Linked DNA regions of Rhinolophus ferrumequinum. The protein of the gene in region 2 purifies or fractionates together with the protein of the main gene of each other region. This does not show direct contact. Links are inferred from orthologs where the notes say so. Each region holds a gene or a part of one and is shown on either strand. Other genes may lie near its edges.

Region 1 (8,092 bases), on a different chromosome or scaffold from region 2:
GATTTTACTCAGAAGACAATGGAAAGTCATTGCGGTATTTTAAACAGTGGAATGACACCATTAGATTTGCGTTTTAGGGATCACTGGCAGCTGTATGGAAGGCAGGTTGAGAGAAGGAAAGAAGACAGGCAGTCAGGGATTATAGTAGGAGCCTAGGTGAGAAATGAAATACTGAACCGAGCCAAGCAAGGAAGACGGGCCGCCTGACCATCATGTGGTGGAAACTACAGGACTCCACAAACGGGTAAGAAGAGGAAGGACAGGGCAGCGCACTTAGTTTCTGGTTTCTCAGTGGATGGTGGTCCCATTCGAACGTAACACATCCAAAACTGATTTCCCCTCTTCCTCATGGCAAGTCAACGGCAACTCTATTTCTTAGCTGCCCAGGGCAAATGAGTTGGGAGCCATTTACTTCTTTTTCTTTCACCTTGCACATCCCAATTATCGGCAACTCCTGTTGCTACCTTTAAAGTACAGAATCTGACTCCCAACATCTTCACCGCTAACACCCAAGCCACTGTCATCTCAAGCCTCCTAACTGGTCCTCCTATAGTCTATTCTCTATACAACGGTCAGAGTGACTCTTTAAGAAGGTTCAGATCATGTACTCTGCTCAAAACTCTCCAAGAGCTGCTATTTTACTCGTAATAAAACCTGAAGTCCTTCCCGTGGCTTCAAAGGTTCTGCACGAGCCAGGCTCGTTCTGTCTCTGATCACCTCTCCCCCTACTCTCCTCTGGCCCAGTCCACTCCAGCCACACTGGCTACCTGGTTGCTTTGAATGTGCCAAGGACACTCCTGCCTCAGGGCCTTTGCCCTTGTTCCTCTTCCGGGACTGCTCTTGCCCCAAATAAATATCTGCACAGCTTCTTTTCTTCACTTTATTCAGGTCTCTGCTCAAATGTCCTCTTCTCAGAGGGCTGTGCCAGCCACAATCTATCAAAATCACTCCCCTTGCTCCCCACTGGGCACTCTCTTCCCCTTCTCTCTGGCATTCCCTAACAAAGTACATGTTTGTTTAAAGAGGACAAAGACATTGTCCGTTTGTTCACTGTTACGTCCCACGGCCTAGAAGAGTGCCTGCCATTATGGGAGGCGCTCAGTAGATACTTCTTGAATGAATGAACAAACACAAGAGGAGGAGGTTTAGGAAGAAAAATGAAGAGTTCAGTTCAGAATATTCTGGGTTTGAAGTATCCATGGAGCATTGAGGTAGAACCACGTAGAAGTTTATAGTGCTAGAAAATAATTTTAAGTAATAACAATGGTGACATTACTAAATAGGTAATAAAAACATTTGTTATTTTCCAAGCGCAGATCTGAGCATTTCATCCTCACAATGGCTTCGCAAAAGAGGTATTCAAATTACCCCCACAGAGGGAAATAAGTTCTTGGGGGTTGAGAATTGGAAAACTTTAGAAATCTGTGTGTACTCGAGTAAGCCAGGGAGATTGCGATGCAGTCAAGGATGGCCCATGAATCTTTTTCCCTGTTAATGTTTTCTCTTTGTGTCCCTCTCACCTTCATGTACTTGTTGAAGACAGTCTGGATCTCCTCATTGATGCTAGGCTGCAGGACAGCTCGGAGGAGATCCATGGAGATGGCAGGATCTGTGAAACTGCATTCAGGAGGGAGACAGTCAGGCGACATGGCCCAAATATGTCCTTTCCTAGTCTGCCCAGCCTTTAATGACAATAATATACAGCTTTTTATTTTTAGATAACTAGCTATGTGCCCAGGTTGTGTAAAGCAGAGATGAATGACTTTATTTCATTCTCCTAACTCTGTGAAATGGGTACTATTTTTAACATGTTTTGTGAAGTATAACACTTATACAGAAAATTCTATTACAAATTGTTTTCGTGAATATCCATTTAATCACTACTCAGTTCAAGAAATATAATCAGCATCTCAAAGGCCCATCTCGTGCTCTCCTTTCCTTTTTATTATTTGATGATGATTATTATTTTATTATTTATTATTCATTATGACCCTATTACCACAGGATAATAGTACCCTGTGGATACTACTGGCCACACTTTTTTCTTAACTTCCATGCTACCCTGTCTTTTTAGAGCCCTCGAACACAGTCACAAGTGTTAGGATCTTAGGGGTTGTTTAATTCACCTATCCCCCCTCATTTGGTACATGAGTTCAGAGGGGGAAGTGACTTGCTCAAGGTCACACAGAGTTACAGAATCTGAGTCTCCTCTTTCCTAGTCCAGTGCTCTTTCTATTGGCTGATGATTTCTTCTCAGCCCCGTGCAACGGGGATCCCCCAAGCTGCCTTTCCAGCCAGTGCCTGGGAGGTAAGTCCCACCCAGGGTCAGGCTTACCTTGTTGTCATCTGTGAGCGGCGGCCCCTTCGCTGCACCTGCCGGTGCTTTATCATTATGTTCCAAGGGTTCTGTGGGGACCAAGGGAGCAGATGTCACCGAGGTCTGTGACACTGGGGTGGAGGTGGACGGTGGGTATGCAGTTAAACCTAGACAGCCCTGCTTCTCAGGTGCTTTCACCACCTCTCCCACCTTGGGGTCTGGGGAAGGGCCGTGGTTGGAAGCCCCTGCAGGGGAAGAGAAACTCAGGGAAAGTTTCCTGCCTCAAAAATCCCGACTCCACCTTTTCAGGAACGGCTAGAAGAAGGGAACCAGTGTTCACCGAGGGCCTACTCTGGGACAGATGATGCGCTGGGCGCTTTACCTGCATTTATAACCCATCCCAACAACCTTATGAGGCAGGTACTAATCTCTGTTTTACAGCATAAGAACTGGGGTTCAGGAACTTGACAGGACTGGCCCACGTCACCTAACTAGGAGGGCGGCACCTAGAATTTGAATCCAGGTCTTCGGATTGTGAAAACGCCAACCCTCTCGGCAGCGCCGGCTGCCGCGTTCTCTCGTCCGCGGGCCGGGGTCCTGGGAGCCCGAGGCCCAGCCGGCCCGAGCCCAGGCCCGGCCCGGCCTCTCCAGGGGCGCCCTCACCGTGAGAACCAGCTGACCCGCTGCGCCCGCGTCTCCCCGCTCGGGGCCGCCCCGCTCTGCCCCGCCAGGTCCCCGCGGCTGCTCGGCGTCGCCAGTGGCCCCCATGGCGTCCCTGACCCTTACAACTTCAGCCCGACTCTGCCACCGGCCGGAAAGTGGCTGTGTGACGTCACTGGAGCGCGTCGGCCGCGGACCCGGAAGCACGACGAGGCGAGCTGCGCGGTTACCATGGCAACCAAACGGCCGCGTGTTGCCAAACACCCTGATGCTTAGAGGCCTTATGTGTGTGTGTGGGTGGTCGGGGCTTCCTCCAGGGAGGGGCCGCGTCGCAGGTGTGGACTGGGGATGATCATTCAAGGATTGTTCTCGGGCTGGAGAAGTGCCAGGCAGACGAAGGGGAGCAGGTTTCAATGGTCTGGGGTTGGAGAGCGGAGGGGAGCGTTTTTTGTACAGCGGCGCCTGCAGTTCAGTCTTTGAAAACGGTAGATTTTAATGTGCTGCGTATTTAGCCTCCGGAACTGGAGTGGGCTTAATGCGGGGTCCCGGAAACCCGATAGCAGGAGGAGGTTTGGCCCATGCTACTCCTAGCACTCACCCACCAGGTCTCTCCAAGCCTGGACCCTAGGGGCTGCCTCTTGCATCTGAAGACATCAGAATGAAGACTTGGACCATGGATTCCCCGAGCCCCAGGGAGCTGGGCTTCTCTACCCAGACTGGTGGTGATTCTAGGATGGGCCGGGGTAGCAAGGGTTTAACAGCTGTGAAGTTTCCCGGGGCTCCCCTTAGCTCTCCTTTAGGTAAGACGACCCTGAATAAAATTTGAGCGATATATCGGTGGTAGAGAAAATTACTTTTCCCAGGTCACAATATAGGGTAGTAGAAAGTGCATGAGTTTTGCAGTTAGAAAGATCTGAGTTCAAATTCAGTGTGATGTGATGATTAAGAACTATGGAATTGGACTGCCTACCTTTGTTCTACCACTTACTAGTTGTGACTAACGTTTCTTTCGGTGCCTCAATCTCCCTATCTGTAGAATGGGGATAATTCATGTAAAGCACTTAGAACTATGGCACAAGTAAACCCTCAAACAATGCTATCTGTTGTTACTGTTATTAGATTCCAGCAGCCACCACTTGCCACCACTTATGACCTTGGGCAATTTTTCTCAGCCCCTCTGAACCACTTTTCTTACCTCTGCACGATTATTGTGAGGATTAAAATAAATAATGTATGCAAAGCACATATTAGGTCATCAACAAAAGTTAATCATCTCCATGCTCCAATATCTGTCTTAAAACAGTAAGGCGACTTCCTGGCACAGAACTCTTTGGCGCTATTGAGAAGGTTTTTACCTTGAGCCTTGAATATTCCCTGCCCTTTAACATCACTGGGCTAAGCGGTGCAGTGAACACTATTCGATATCATGATTGACTAAAGTCATAAGCAGTTAGAGAAAAATAAAAAGAAATAGAGCAAGAGGAGATAAAAGGAATATACATACATGGTTTACACTACAAAAGTCATAACAATTGTTCTTTGGGGTTCTGTCAACTAGCCTTCACATGGTCCAAGAGTGGTCTATGTGGACCAGAGAGACCAAGATACAGGGTTTTTTGTGCATTTGTATTAGTTCTGAACATTTAACTCAAATATGGCTTTTCTGTAGCCTTTTGATAGTTTCTAAGTAGTCTGTCCCATTCTCTGTTTTCTAGTTTGCTAGGGTGATAGGAGAAGTCACAGTACATCTTATTAGCTGTGGTTATTTTCTTGTTAACTCTCTGGTCCTTCCCTCTGTCATTGCAGCGGTAGTCGTGTCCTTCCAAGGCCCTTTCACTCTCTCTTTGATCCTTTGTTCAATGGCCATCCCTGTATTTTCCCAGGGTCTTCATCAGTGTCCACGGGTGTTGCATATATTGCATGACAGAGTTTGATCACCATCATCACATGTGCCCTTTGGTAGTGCCAGGAATCTTCCCACACACCAGCAACCAATCATTTTTCTTCTTGTCAGGAGCAGCCATCCTTGGGGACTGTTGCGAAAGGGAAGACTTCGGGGCTGGGCGGAAGCTGGTCTCCCGGTCCTGCCTTCCCTCGGTTGATACTCCGGGCAAGGGGCACACCCCCGGCCTGGACCGAGCTCTCCTCTCGGCACTCAGCATGATCATCATGAGCTGCCTCTTCCTCCTGAATGCACTTCTTGCTCTTGGGTCCCTGACACCCTGGGTGACTGCAGGAGAGCATGGTGAGCTATCATTTGGGATCCCTGGCTAACAGGAACAGGGCGTGACTAGAGAAGTCATTCCCTGCCTCCCCACAGTGAGGGGCCTCATTCGTGGAGATGGCCATCTCTGCAGGATGGGACTGGATGCAGAGTCTTGGGACAGCCAGGGTGGGTCTTCCTGGCTTTTTTTACCTTCCCTGGCCAAGAAGATAGTATTGCCAGTCTGCCTTTCTCCTAGGGTTCCTTAAGAAAGAATAGGATCACCCCAACCTTTCCATCTGCAGAATGGCTGGTTCTTTAGTAGGTGTGTGTGTGTGTGTGTGTGTGTGTGTGTGTGTGTGCTTGCATAGGAGGGGGAAGTGTTTAGATAGGAGTGCTTGGAGAGGCTGAAAGTCCTTGAAGTACATTTGGCTTCCATTCCCCATTTCTTGAGGCCTGGCCAGTTATCCTAACCTTGTGTGATATCCTTTGCAGTGAAAGAAGGAGAATGCCCTCCTGATAAGAACCCGTGCAAAGATCTGTGCCAGGGGGATGAATCGTGTCCAGCTGGACAGAAGTGCTGCTGCACAGGCTGTGGTCGAGTCTGCCAAGGAGACATTCCTAAGGGTACGTAGGCATGAGGGGCAAAACCCAAGTGTGCTTTCTAAAGGAAGACCCAGAGGGCTTCCTATATTCTAGATTGGCTCTAGAAATCTAGCTTGCCTAGAGCACCTCTTCTTTCTGCTTTTGGGGTCTCTTCTGCTTTAATCACTCAGTATCCCCAGGTCTTTGCCTTTTGTCAGGAAAAAGCACAGGACTGATTATCTCTGTCTTTTACTTTGAACTCAGCGTTCCTGGGAAGGCTGGAGGGCAGAGTTATGAAGGGAAGCCTGTTTAAGATAGTGATGAAAGGAGTACCCTTGAGCCAGGCAGACCTTCTTAAGCCTTACATAAGCCTTACATAGCTCTTTTTAAGTGTTAAGTTTTTAAGCAGTCAATTTCCTCATCTGTAAAACGGGGATAATTGTTTGTGCCTCATAGAATTGTTGCAAGGACCTAATGAGGTTCCCTGGCACAATGTAAGCGTAGTAAGCGTTACAGTAAACGTGAGCTGTTTTCCTTGCGGTCGTCATTGTCTCTCTTTAGCACCAGGGCGGAGAGTCCTAAATGAAGTTGGGGCTTCCTTCCTCTGATTTTCCCATTTTCCCATCTGCTGTGCCTGTGGGTGTCACTGGGCACCATTATCTCTTTTTTTGTGGCTGTCTCCTGTTTCGCTACAGGGAGGAAGGGAGATTGTCCCAAGGTTGTTCGGAAACAATCCTGTTTTAAAAGGTGCGTCACTGATGAGACATGTCCAGGCGTAAAGAAATGCTGCCCGTTTGGCTGTGACAAGAGCTGTGTAGTTCCAATCTCCAAACCAAAGCTGGGTAAGAAGCTCCGCCCGGGCCCCACGGTCGGCTTGGCCCCCTTATTTGTCTCAAATATGCACATACCATTTTGTGGTTGGTTGTACTGTACTCTGAAAAACAATAAGTGCCTCCTCTATTCTAGACCTTTTCTAAGAAAAGATATACAAAGGGTACCCAGGCCATGATGGGTGGTGGTATGTGTTCGAGGCAGGCAAAGGAGGATGCCAGAAGGGAAATCTTGGCATCTCTTGTTCTGGGGCAGATTTAAAAGCTGTTGGGTAGTTTCCAGTTGATACCTATGCAGGACTGCACACATTTCCCCACTCACTTGCTTCTGAGACTCTGTCTCCTCTGTCCACACACAGGATAGCCATCGCCTGTTGGAAACGGGTTCGATTTTATTCTGATGCTGATAGAGAGGTGTTTGAAAGGGATTTCTTCTCCCTCTTGCAGGATCCTCATGACCTAGTTCTCCATTTCTGCATCATTCCTTTAAGAAATATTTATTGATCCAGTGGTGGGTTCTGGGTATAATGTGGTGAGCAAAGCAGATCCAGTCCCTGCCTTCATGGGGCTCATAGACTAGGGGACGGGGGAGAAAGAGGCTTAACAAATAAGTATGCAAGTAAATATATAATTTCAAACCGTAACCAGGACATGGAGGAAAATTAAAGGGTGCTGAGAGATAGAATAACGCGGGACTCACTTTACATGGGGTGGTCAAGGAAGGCCTGTGTGAGATAGTGACATTTAACCTGTGACCTGGAGTTGAAGTTAGCCAGGTGAAGATGTGATACACATTCCAGGAAGAGAGAAGCAAGCTGAGAAGGAACTTGCCACGCTTAAGGAACTGAAAGAAAGCTGGTGTGGTTGGAGTAGAGACAGGCAGAGAGAGAATGACTCCAGGTGAGGACAGAGTCCGTTAGAATAGGGAGGTGACAGTGGGGATAGAGAAAAGGTGACATGGTTGAGAGAATTGGAAGGTAGAAGTGACAGAGCTGTCTGCTCTAGTCCTTGCCTCCTGCCCCATTTCCTTGAGAGGCCCCCAAAAGGCATTAGAAATTCTGATTTGTCTCCTGTGACTAGCCCCTTCTCATTTCTCTCGTGTTTCAGGATTTTCATGGCTACTTTTGCTTGCTGTGCTTCCAAATATATTTTATTATCATATTGTCTATTCCCTTCTCCCTCCAAAATATGAAGACTACTTTTATTAAAGAGGTGTTCGATGTAAAAATTAACTTAGGGAGCATTGACATTTTTGTAATGTTGAATCTTTATGTCGTCCCATTGTTCAAGTGTATTTGGTGTATTTCAGGGTGTTTTCTAGTTTTAAAGTATTTCTTGATAAGTTAATGCCTAGGTTATTTAATTACCTTCTTTGCTATCTCAAATGGGGTCTTCCGTTATGTCTTCCATTATGTTTTCTAAAGGAACTGGAACCATTCTCTAATCTGAGTACATGTGACAGCATATTACAATGAAAAAGCATAGATTTTTGTTGCC
Region 2 (7,234 bases):
AGCCACACAAGATCTAAACATTGCATGTGGTTTACTAGGCATTTTAAAAAGCATTATTTACATGCATTTGACCTTTACATTAAGCCAATGAAAAATGTATGGTCCCAGTTCAAAGGTGGGTGACCTGGGGCTGAGAGAAGTTAAGAAACCTCTCCAAGATCTCATTGCTGGTGGGGGCCAGACTCAGAATTTGAACTAAGGTCTGCTCAAGTCCAAAGACTCTATTTTATTCCTTCTCCTCAGGCTCCCAGAATTTTTTCTTTGTTGCAGAGAGAGGCAAGTGGTTAAGACAGAGGTTTCGGGCTCAGGTTGGCCTGGATGAAAATTGGAACAAGTTATGTAATCTCTCTGATCCTCCACTTCTGTCTGCATCTGTAAAATAAGAATACTGTAATGATGATGGTTTGGGGCTGATTAAATAGGATAATGCATGTCTCAGCAGTGCTTGGCACATAAAAAGCACTTGATAAATCTTAGTGAATATTATTAGTGCAGAGGAGGAGAAAGAACCATGAAGTGTTTGCTTTTGTCAGTAACTCAGGAAACAATGGTTCACCATTGTTGATACAACCTGTTTGGGACTGAGGCTGAAGGGCTGGGAAGGGTGGGAGTATGGTAATGATTCTGCCTGGATTAGAGAAGGGAGCCCTGGACATAAAGTATTAAGTAGGCACCCAAGGAGTTTTCCTGAGGCCTCACTTGGAAAAACAGTTAAATGCCTCCTGAAGGCTAACCCGGGTTGTCTCCACAGAGGGAAAACCATTGGGTGGCAGTCGGGGCGGGAGAGACTTTTTTTTTTTTTTGACTTTTCAATATTTGAATTTGGAGCTATGTGAATGCATTCAACATGTTCCAAAAAATGAATTGTATTTTAAAAAACCTCTTTTACCAGTGGGGTAAGTGCTGAGAATGGGAAGACTAGAATCTAATGATAATAAAAATAATCCCCTTACAGTTTTTGCAGCCCTGGGAGAGCTTTGGTCATACAGGGCAGGACTTGCACCAGGACTGGGACTATTTATGCCTGACTCTGATCTCAAAGACCCAAGGTAAGTTTTCAATTTCAGTCATCCTCCCTGACACTCATTGAGTCCACAACCACCAGTCAGATTTGGGATTGTTCACCCCTTGGATTGTCTTTAAGCAAATGCATTGTTGAGGTTTGAATCTATTGGCTAAATAAGGTGTCTGTATGGATTGTCTGTGCATTTCCCAGGTTTTTAGGCCATAGATCATTTCTGATACTTAAATCACTTAAGAATCTGGAGACCTTATTTTCTAGAGTCCTTGGGAAGGGAGGGAGCATAAAATCCCACTCACAAATAATCAAGAACTTGCATAAGAACTGTTCTAAGGGCTTTATGTATATTAACTAATTTAAATCTCATACTACTACTAACTGTAGGTATCATTATTCTGATTTTACAGGCAAAGAAACAGAACCAAGTAAGATTAAGTAACTTGCCCAAGAGACTGCAGACTGACCGTTAGGCCATACTACCTCTCGGTTGGCAGCGGGCCAATCACGTAGTGGTCCTTTGACGGTTACACAAGCATCCTTAGCTGTGTAGCAGCAATACTTTGAGTCCCAAATCCCAAATCCTCCCTTCTCTACAGCTTCTGGTTTAGGAGCAGGAAAGACCGGGGTGTGAATTTCCTCATTGACCTCGGGCAATTTACTCACTCCCCCTTAGCTTCAGGTTCCTTATCTGTGCCGGGGAGGAGTTTTATAGATTAAAAGACCTCTCCTCGCAGTACCATGGGTGTGGGTGTGTGCTGGGGGGTGGGAGGTGGAGAGGTTTCTGGGCAGTGCGCTGCTTTTCTCAGGTCTCTTGAGTTAATAGGGTGTTTTGAGGGTCTGTCCTGGCCAATTCCCTACCAGGAGGTCAGGCCCCCAGGCAATGATCGCGCTTTTAGAGCTCGGCAATCACTCCTTCGCTTAGAAAAGGGCTGCCACTGGGGCCAGCTCCGACCACTGCCTGGAGGTCTAGGGTAGGTCTTTTTCCTTGAGGGAGTTAGAGATTATTGTATCCTCAGGAAGGCTTCTTAGAGGTAGTGACAGTTGAGTCCTGAAGGTTTAGCAGGAGTTAGTAAGAAGTGGACAGGGAAGGGTTAGCGTCCCTCACCCCACCCTCCAGCCCCAGAACAAAGAAGCACGACCCGCTTACGGTATAGGAGGAGGAGCTGTGAGGGTGAAGTGGTCCGTAGAGGCGAAATCACAAGGGGGCTTCAGAGCTTGGCTTTATTCTAAGAGAAATTGGGAGGGGTTTGGAAGAATGTAGTCAGGAGTTTTAGAGACTCCTCTAGCCGCTCTTGGGAAGAATGGATCAGGGATAGGAGGCTATCACAGAAAGCAGTCGGGTTGGAAGATGACCGACGACTGAGGAAGGGGGTGGGGGCGAGGACCGAGCATCCGAGCCTTTCTGTCTCCGCGACACTGGGCGCTATCCCTCGATTTTCTCTGCTTATGTGGAAGGGCCCCACAGGGGGCTGGGCGCCGGCCAAATTCTCATTGAGCAAAACAGCCCAGAGCTCGCTCCTCTTTCGGGGGCTCTGGCCCAGGTGCCCCCAAATTGGTAGGGTTATGCGAGAGAACTTACCACTGTTGAAGATGGAGAACCGTTACCCCTCAAAATACACAAAAACCTCGGCCGCTTTTGGCAGCAGACTCCTGGGTCCATGACCTCACGCTTTAAGCTCCCTTATAGCCTTCCCCCGCCCTGTCCACACCCATCGCCGAGTGGGGGTAGGGTGGGGGATAGTGGCGATGGCCTGGGGAGCGGGAGAACCTTATTTATCCTGCGTGAGATTTGAGGGAAGGGGCGCCACGATCTCCCCATTCTGCAAAAAGCATGGTTTAACTTTCCCTTGAGCAAAAAAGACTCGCCGCCGTGGATACCTCGAACCTGGCTCGAGGTGGTCTGCTGAGCTGAACCATCTTTGGTTCACGTTTCCTGGGACCAGGAAAGAAGCCTGGAAATGCTGGGGTCCTGGGCTGAACCGAGAGGCCGAGGCCGCAGAGCCTTCGCGGGACCTGGGGGCTGTCCCGGTCTCGCCCTCCTGGCGCCGCCGAGGTTTGAACCCTGAGCTCGCCTTTCAGCCCGCGCCCTGCCCCCTGCTCGCAGCTGCTCTCGGTTTGGGTGCAGCGGTTTCCCCCGCAGAGGAGGAGGAGACAGAGCGAGGAGCGACTCCCGGCTCGGGTTTCCGCACCAATGCCGAGCGGCCCGGGCGGCCCCCGGCGGCCGTCCCTCCTCCCCGGCACCACGTTCCACAGTCATGGCGCGCGAGGAGGGGCGAGCCCGCGTCGCGGCTGCACCCGCGCCCCCTCCCCTCCGCCGCCCGGCCCGGCCCCTCTCCTAGGCAACCTCCCTCCCCAGCCTACTGCGCCGCGGAGATGGAGACCCCCTCCCCAGAGAGCTGCGTTTCCAGCGCCGCCTGCAGCACCCGCTCCCCGCCCCCACCGGGGCGGAGGGATGGAGCCGCGCGCTTCACGAACCTCCAGCCCCTTCCCGGGAGCCCCGACTCCTCTCCCAGCCCCTCCGAGGCGGGGGTGCAGTGGGGGTAGACGCAGACCGTCTCCCCGCAGCCCATCTAGACCTTGGTATCTTTAGAGCCCTTTTAACAAAATAAGCCAAAAAGCCAAACCCCAGTCGTTAGATTGCAAAGCGCGTTACAATAACCGGGACGGCTACGCAGGAAGCAATCCTGCACTGGTCTGGGTTTAAGGCGGCAGCTTCCCGGCCACGCCGCCTTCTCCTGGGCCTCGATTTTCCGGCTACGCCGGAGAGTCTGCCACACCTCGGGGCTGACAGGTCCCGCGCCCGGCCGCAACTCGGTCCGCGTCCCCCGCCCCATCCTCGTCCAGAGTCTCTCCAGCCTACAAAAGGTGCAACCTCACGCACATGCAGAGCACACAAATAAGGTCGGCGGCGCATCGCCGGGAAGATTGCGAACAATGCGCCGGACGGCCCGCGCCTGCCCGAGCGCGGTGCCCCGGGGGACAGGGGGCGCGGGCGGGGGACGGGGCTGAGGACTCGCCGGCCGCGGCGCTGGACACCTTACTTCCTGCTTCCCCGCCCGCGGCCAGACCCAGCTCTGCGGAGGGATATCTCTCCCCTCCTCTGTCCCCCTCTCTCCCTTCTCCCGCCCTCCCCCCTTTTTTTGCTTCTGCTCCCCCCCCCCCCACTCCGCCTTTCTCCTTTTGCAAGAAAATAATTTGACAGTCGATTTGCTGACAGGGGAGGAATTTGCATCCTGGATTAAAAAAAAAAAAAAGGCCGAGAGGAGCTTGGGAACGGTTGCTAGGGGTGGGTAATGGGTGAAAAAAGGGGGGCGCCGGGGAGCGGATAAGGAGGGTTAAGGGAGGGGGCGAGGCTGGGGAGCAATGCAAAAGGTAAGGCCAGGTTACCGCGGCTCGGCCCCGAGTGGGCTGCGGCCGGGGGAGGGGCGAGAGATACATATGTATTTCTGTCTCCCTAGCACACCCCCTTCCCTCTAAGCGATGGCTGAGAGGCGGTGCATGCAGATGGGGAGTAAGTTTCCTGAAGGGGAGGGTGGATGCACGCGCGCGGCCCCGCGCTGCAAATTTTCACGGGGGAGGGAGAGTGGCTGGATGCGGAGAGTTTGGAGTTGCTTGCGGCGGAGGACAGGAAGGGGAGCAGGGCCGGGAAGGGGGCTGGCGGGCGTTATATCTGGGAGTAAGTTTCCAGGATCAGGAGAGCCTGCACGCTTGCTTGCTAGTAAGTTTCTGGCCGGGGAGGGCGCGTGGGGAGGAGGAGAGGGAGGGGTGCATGTATATAGAAGGGGGGAGGGGGGAGCAGATTTCCTGCGGGGAGGCTGAATGCATATGGAGAGTAGATTTCCTGAAGGGAGGGTGGAGGCGTAGACGGACCGAGTAAGTTTCTTGCTAGGGTGGTGGCGGAGGTGGTGGGTTGGTGCTTTGAAAACCCGGAGCTTCCTACCGGGGGTGGGGGAGCACGCGCTGTTGGAGGGGGGCCAGGGGCCAGGTTCCCTGCTGGGGAGAGGGGCTTACATCTGGGGAGTATGTTTCCTGGCGGAGCGATATTTGTTTACAGGCTGCGGGCAGTACTGTAAGTGAGTAGCGCTTCGAGAAGGCGGCTCTGACATAAATTAATATTGAAATTACTCCATCAGCTTTGCTCGCCCCCCATCGCACCCCCCGAGCGGAGATTGGTCTTGTCGGATTGCCCATGCACTTGTTGCAGAAACAGCCAAGGTAGGCAAGAAGCTTAAGTTTCATTTTTAAAAAAATTAGTTGGGGGATGCTCCGTGAGAAGACGGGGGTGGGGGAGGGGAAGGGATAAAGTGGGGGACAGAGAAGGGAAAGTCTCCCCCCATTTCTTTACTTTGAGTATGTTAGCAGGGCCTTCTCTCTGCTTCCCTTCTTCCCTCTCTGGGCTGCACGGCATCCCAGCAAAGGGGGAGGGGTGAGGTGGGCGCTATAATTGGCAGCCCCGGCCTAAAGGGTGGTGGTGGGGCTTGCAATTGAAGGTTGTGATGTTATAAAGCCTTCATTCTTCCAGCCAAGAAACCGCAGGACCCTAGGGATGTGCCTTTTGGGGTTTTTGACATGATGCATGTGTGTATGTATATGCGCCTGTGGGCTCTGTGGGGGCTGGGTACCCCCCAGAAGTTAAAGTGGCCACCTAGATGGGAGAAATGTGTGAGGGGTAAACCTGCCCCTCAACTCCCCAAACTTCAATTTGGGAGACTGGGAAGTTGCTGCTGCTGGTCTGAAGAAATAGATATTAGAAAACAACACAAAACCACCCATTCACTGGCGGAGGCCGAGAGCACCTGGCCGGCAACCTCTGGTCAGCCCTGGGCTGCATGTGCGCCTGCCATCCTTAGGTTAAAAGAAAATGACTTCTGGTTCCTCCGTGTGCCTTCGACTGGCCGGTTAGAGCCAGCTTTGTGGAAACTCTTCCCAGCTAGACGCGGCTTTGGTAAGTGAACGTGCTGAAGCCGGTTGCTGACAGCATGGCCTGGGTTGTCTTGTGAAGTGCATGGAAGTGATGCTTAGGAACGAGGGATCCAGGGATGGCTGAAGAGTTCTTTAAAAAATGCCTCCCGAAAGCCGGCTAGATGCACTTTTTAGCAGACCGTGGAGAAGAGCTTTCAGAAAGGAGTTTGTAGTTGTCCTAGTTGGTACCAACCTCCTGCATCATTAACTGTTTCAAGACAGCAGCCTGGTGAGGGAGGATGTGGTTTTGATGCCCACTGGAATTATAGCAAGCCAGAGTACTCAGCAGTTAACTAGTTAAACAGCAGTCTTTGCTTCTGCTTGCCTCTGTGTCCCTGGTTCTCAGCCTACTGGTTTCTGCAGATGGGTTGTAGTTCTGTCAGGTACCTGGATGATGCTGGGAGTTTGAGCTTGCCAGGGTAATGTTAGCAGCAAGAGGTACAAACCCAGGCATGTTTAGTAGGGTCAGGGTAAACTCTAGACAGTGCGGTTAACGAAAAGTTGGTTAAGCTTTCTGTTGTTCTGTAACCAGACTCAGTAATAGCAGGGGGGAAAAAAGCTCTCTACATGTTACTGATGGACAGACAGACTGTTTTCCTTTCTTTCCTGCCATCAGATTTCCAGACTGAGAATTTGATATTGGCAGCTTGACAGTTGAGTTTGTTGGAAATTAAATATTATTGCCATTTATCAAATGTTCCTAACTAAGCATTAGTTAAACAAATTAGCTATTATTTTTACCCTGCTGAAAATCGGAGTCTGGTTGGTGTGTGTGCTGGAAGGGTAAACATGATCTTTATGTGTGTTTATCCCAGGATCGTGGAATTATTGTCATGCCTACCCTCGAAGCCAAGAACAGCCCTTCAGTGGTTTTTCCTTATATTTATGAGATTTATTTTATTGTCTTGCTTTGGCCATTAATCAATTGACAGTAGCTTTTTTCCCGCCTCTTCTGCTGGGGATGTTCTTGTGGTAATAAAGGCCCATGAATCATAATTCATCCTTTTTTAAAATATTGCGGTGATTTTTCAGGATTTGATTTATAGGAATTGATACCGGGAGTGACACACCTCTTTGGGCCCCACCCTTTTAGGCATGTCCATTTTTGCTGAAGGATTGTTTAGAAGCCAGCTTGACATCTCAAAAAAGAGCATGTCCTTTCTGCTTTATAGGCACTGAGAAGATTAATTTTTACAGGTTCCATAGTAAACATGGGGCTTTTCACAGCTTTGTAATCAGGCTTTCACGTAG

The links. The genes of interacting proteins can lie anywhere in the genome.
Region 1: the proteins of TRERF1 (region 2) and DNTTIP1 purify together in Homo sapiens (affinity purification with mass spectrometry; 3 studies listed by BioGRID and IntAct, with this or other methods). This does not show direct contact. The link is inferred for Rhinolophus ferrumequinum from reciprocal best matches to the Homo sapiens genes TRERF1 and DNTTIP1.

The regions. Positions count from the first base shown.
Region 1 is NC_046306.1:12,335,159-12,343,250, forward strand, and holds the start of DNTTIP1 (deoxynucleotidyltransferase terminal-interacting protein 1), read right to left. Parts: upstream 3,156-8,092; 5' UTR 3,086-3,155; coding exon 2,981-3,085; intron 2,407-2,980; coding exon 2,336-2,406; intron 1,618-2,335; coding exon 1,521-1,617; intron 1-1,520. Other genes in the region: WFDC3 (WAP four-disulfide core domain protein 3), read left to right, coding at 3,636-3,777, 4,992-5,222, 5,676-5,807, 6,461-6,607. UniProt on the Homo sapiens protein: Increases DNTT terminal deoxynucleotidyltransferase activity (in vitro). Also acts as a transcriptional regulator, binding to the consensus sequence 5'-GNTGCATG-3' following an AT-tract.
Region 2 is NC_046286.1:12,048,679-12,055,912, reverse strand, and holds the start of TRERF1 (transcriptional-regulating factor 1), read left to right. Parts: upstream 1-4,200; 5' UTR 4,201-4,307; exon of another isoform or gene 4,308-4,739; intron 4,740-5,097; exon of another isoform or gene 5,098-5,154; 5' UTR 5,155-5,236; intron 5,237-7,234.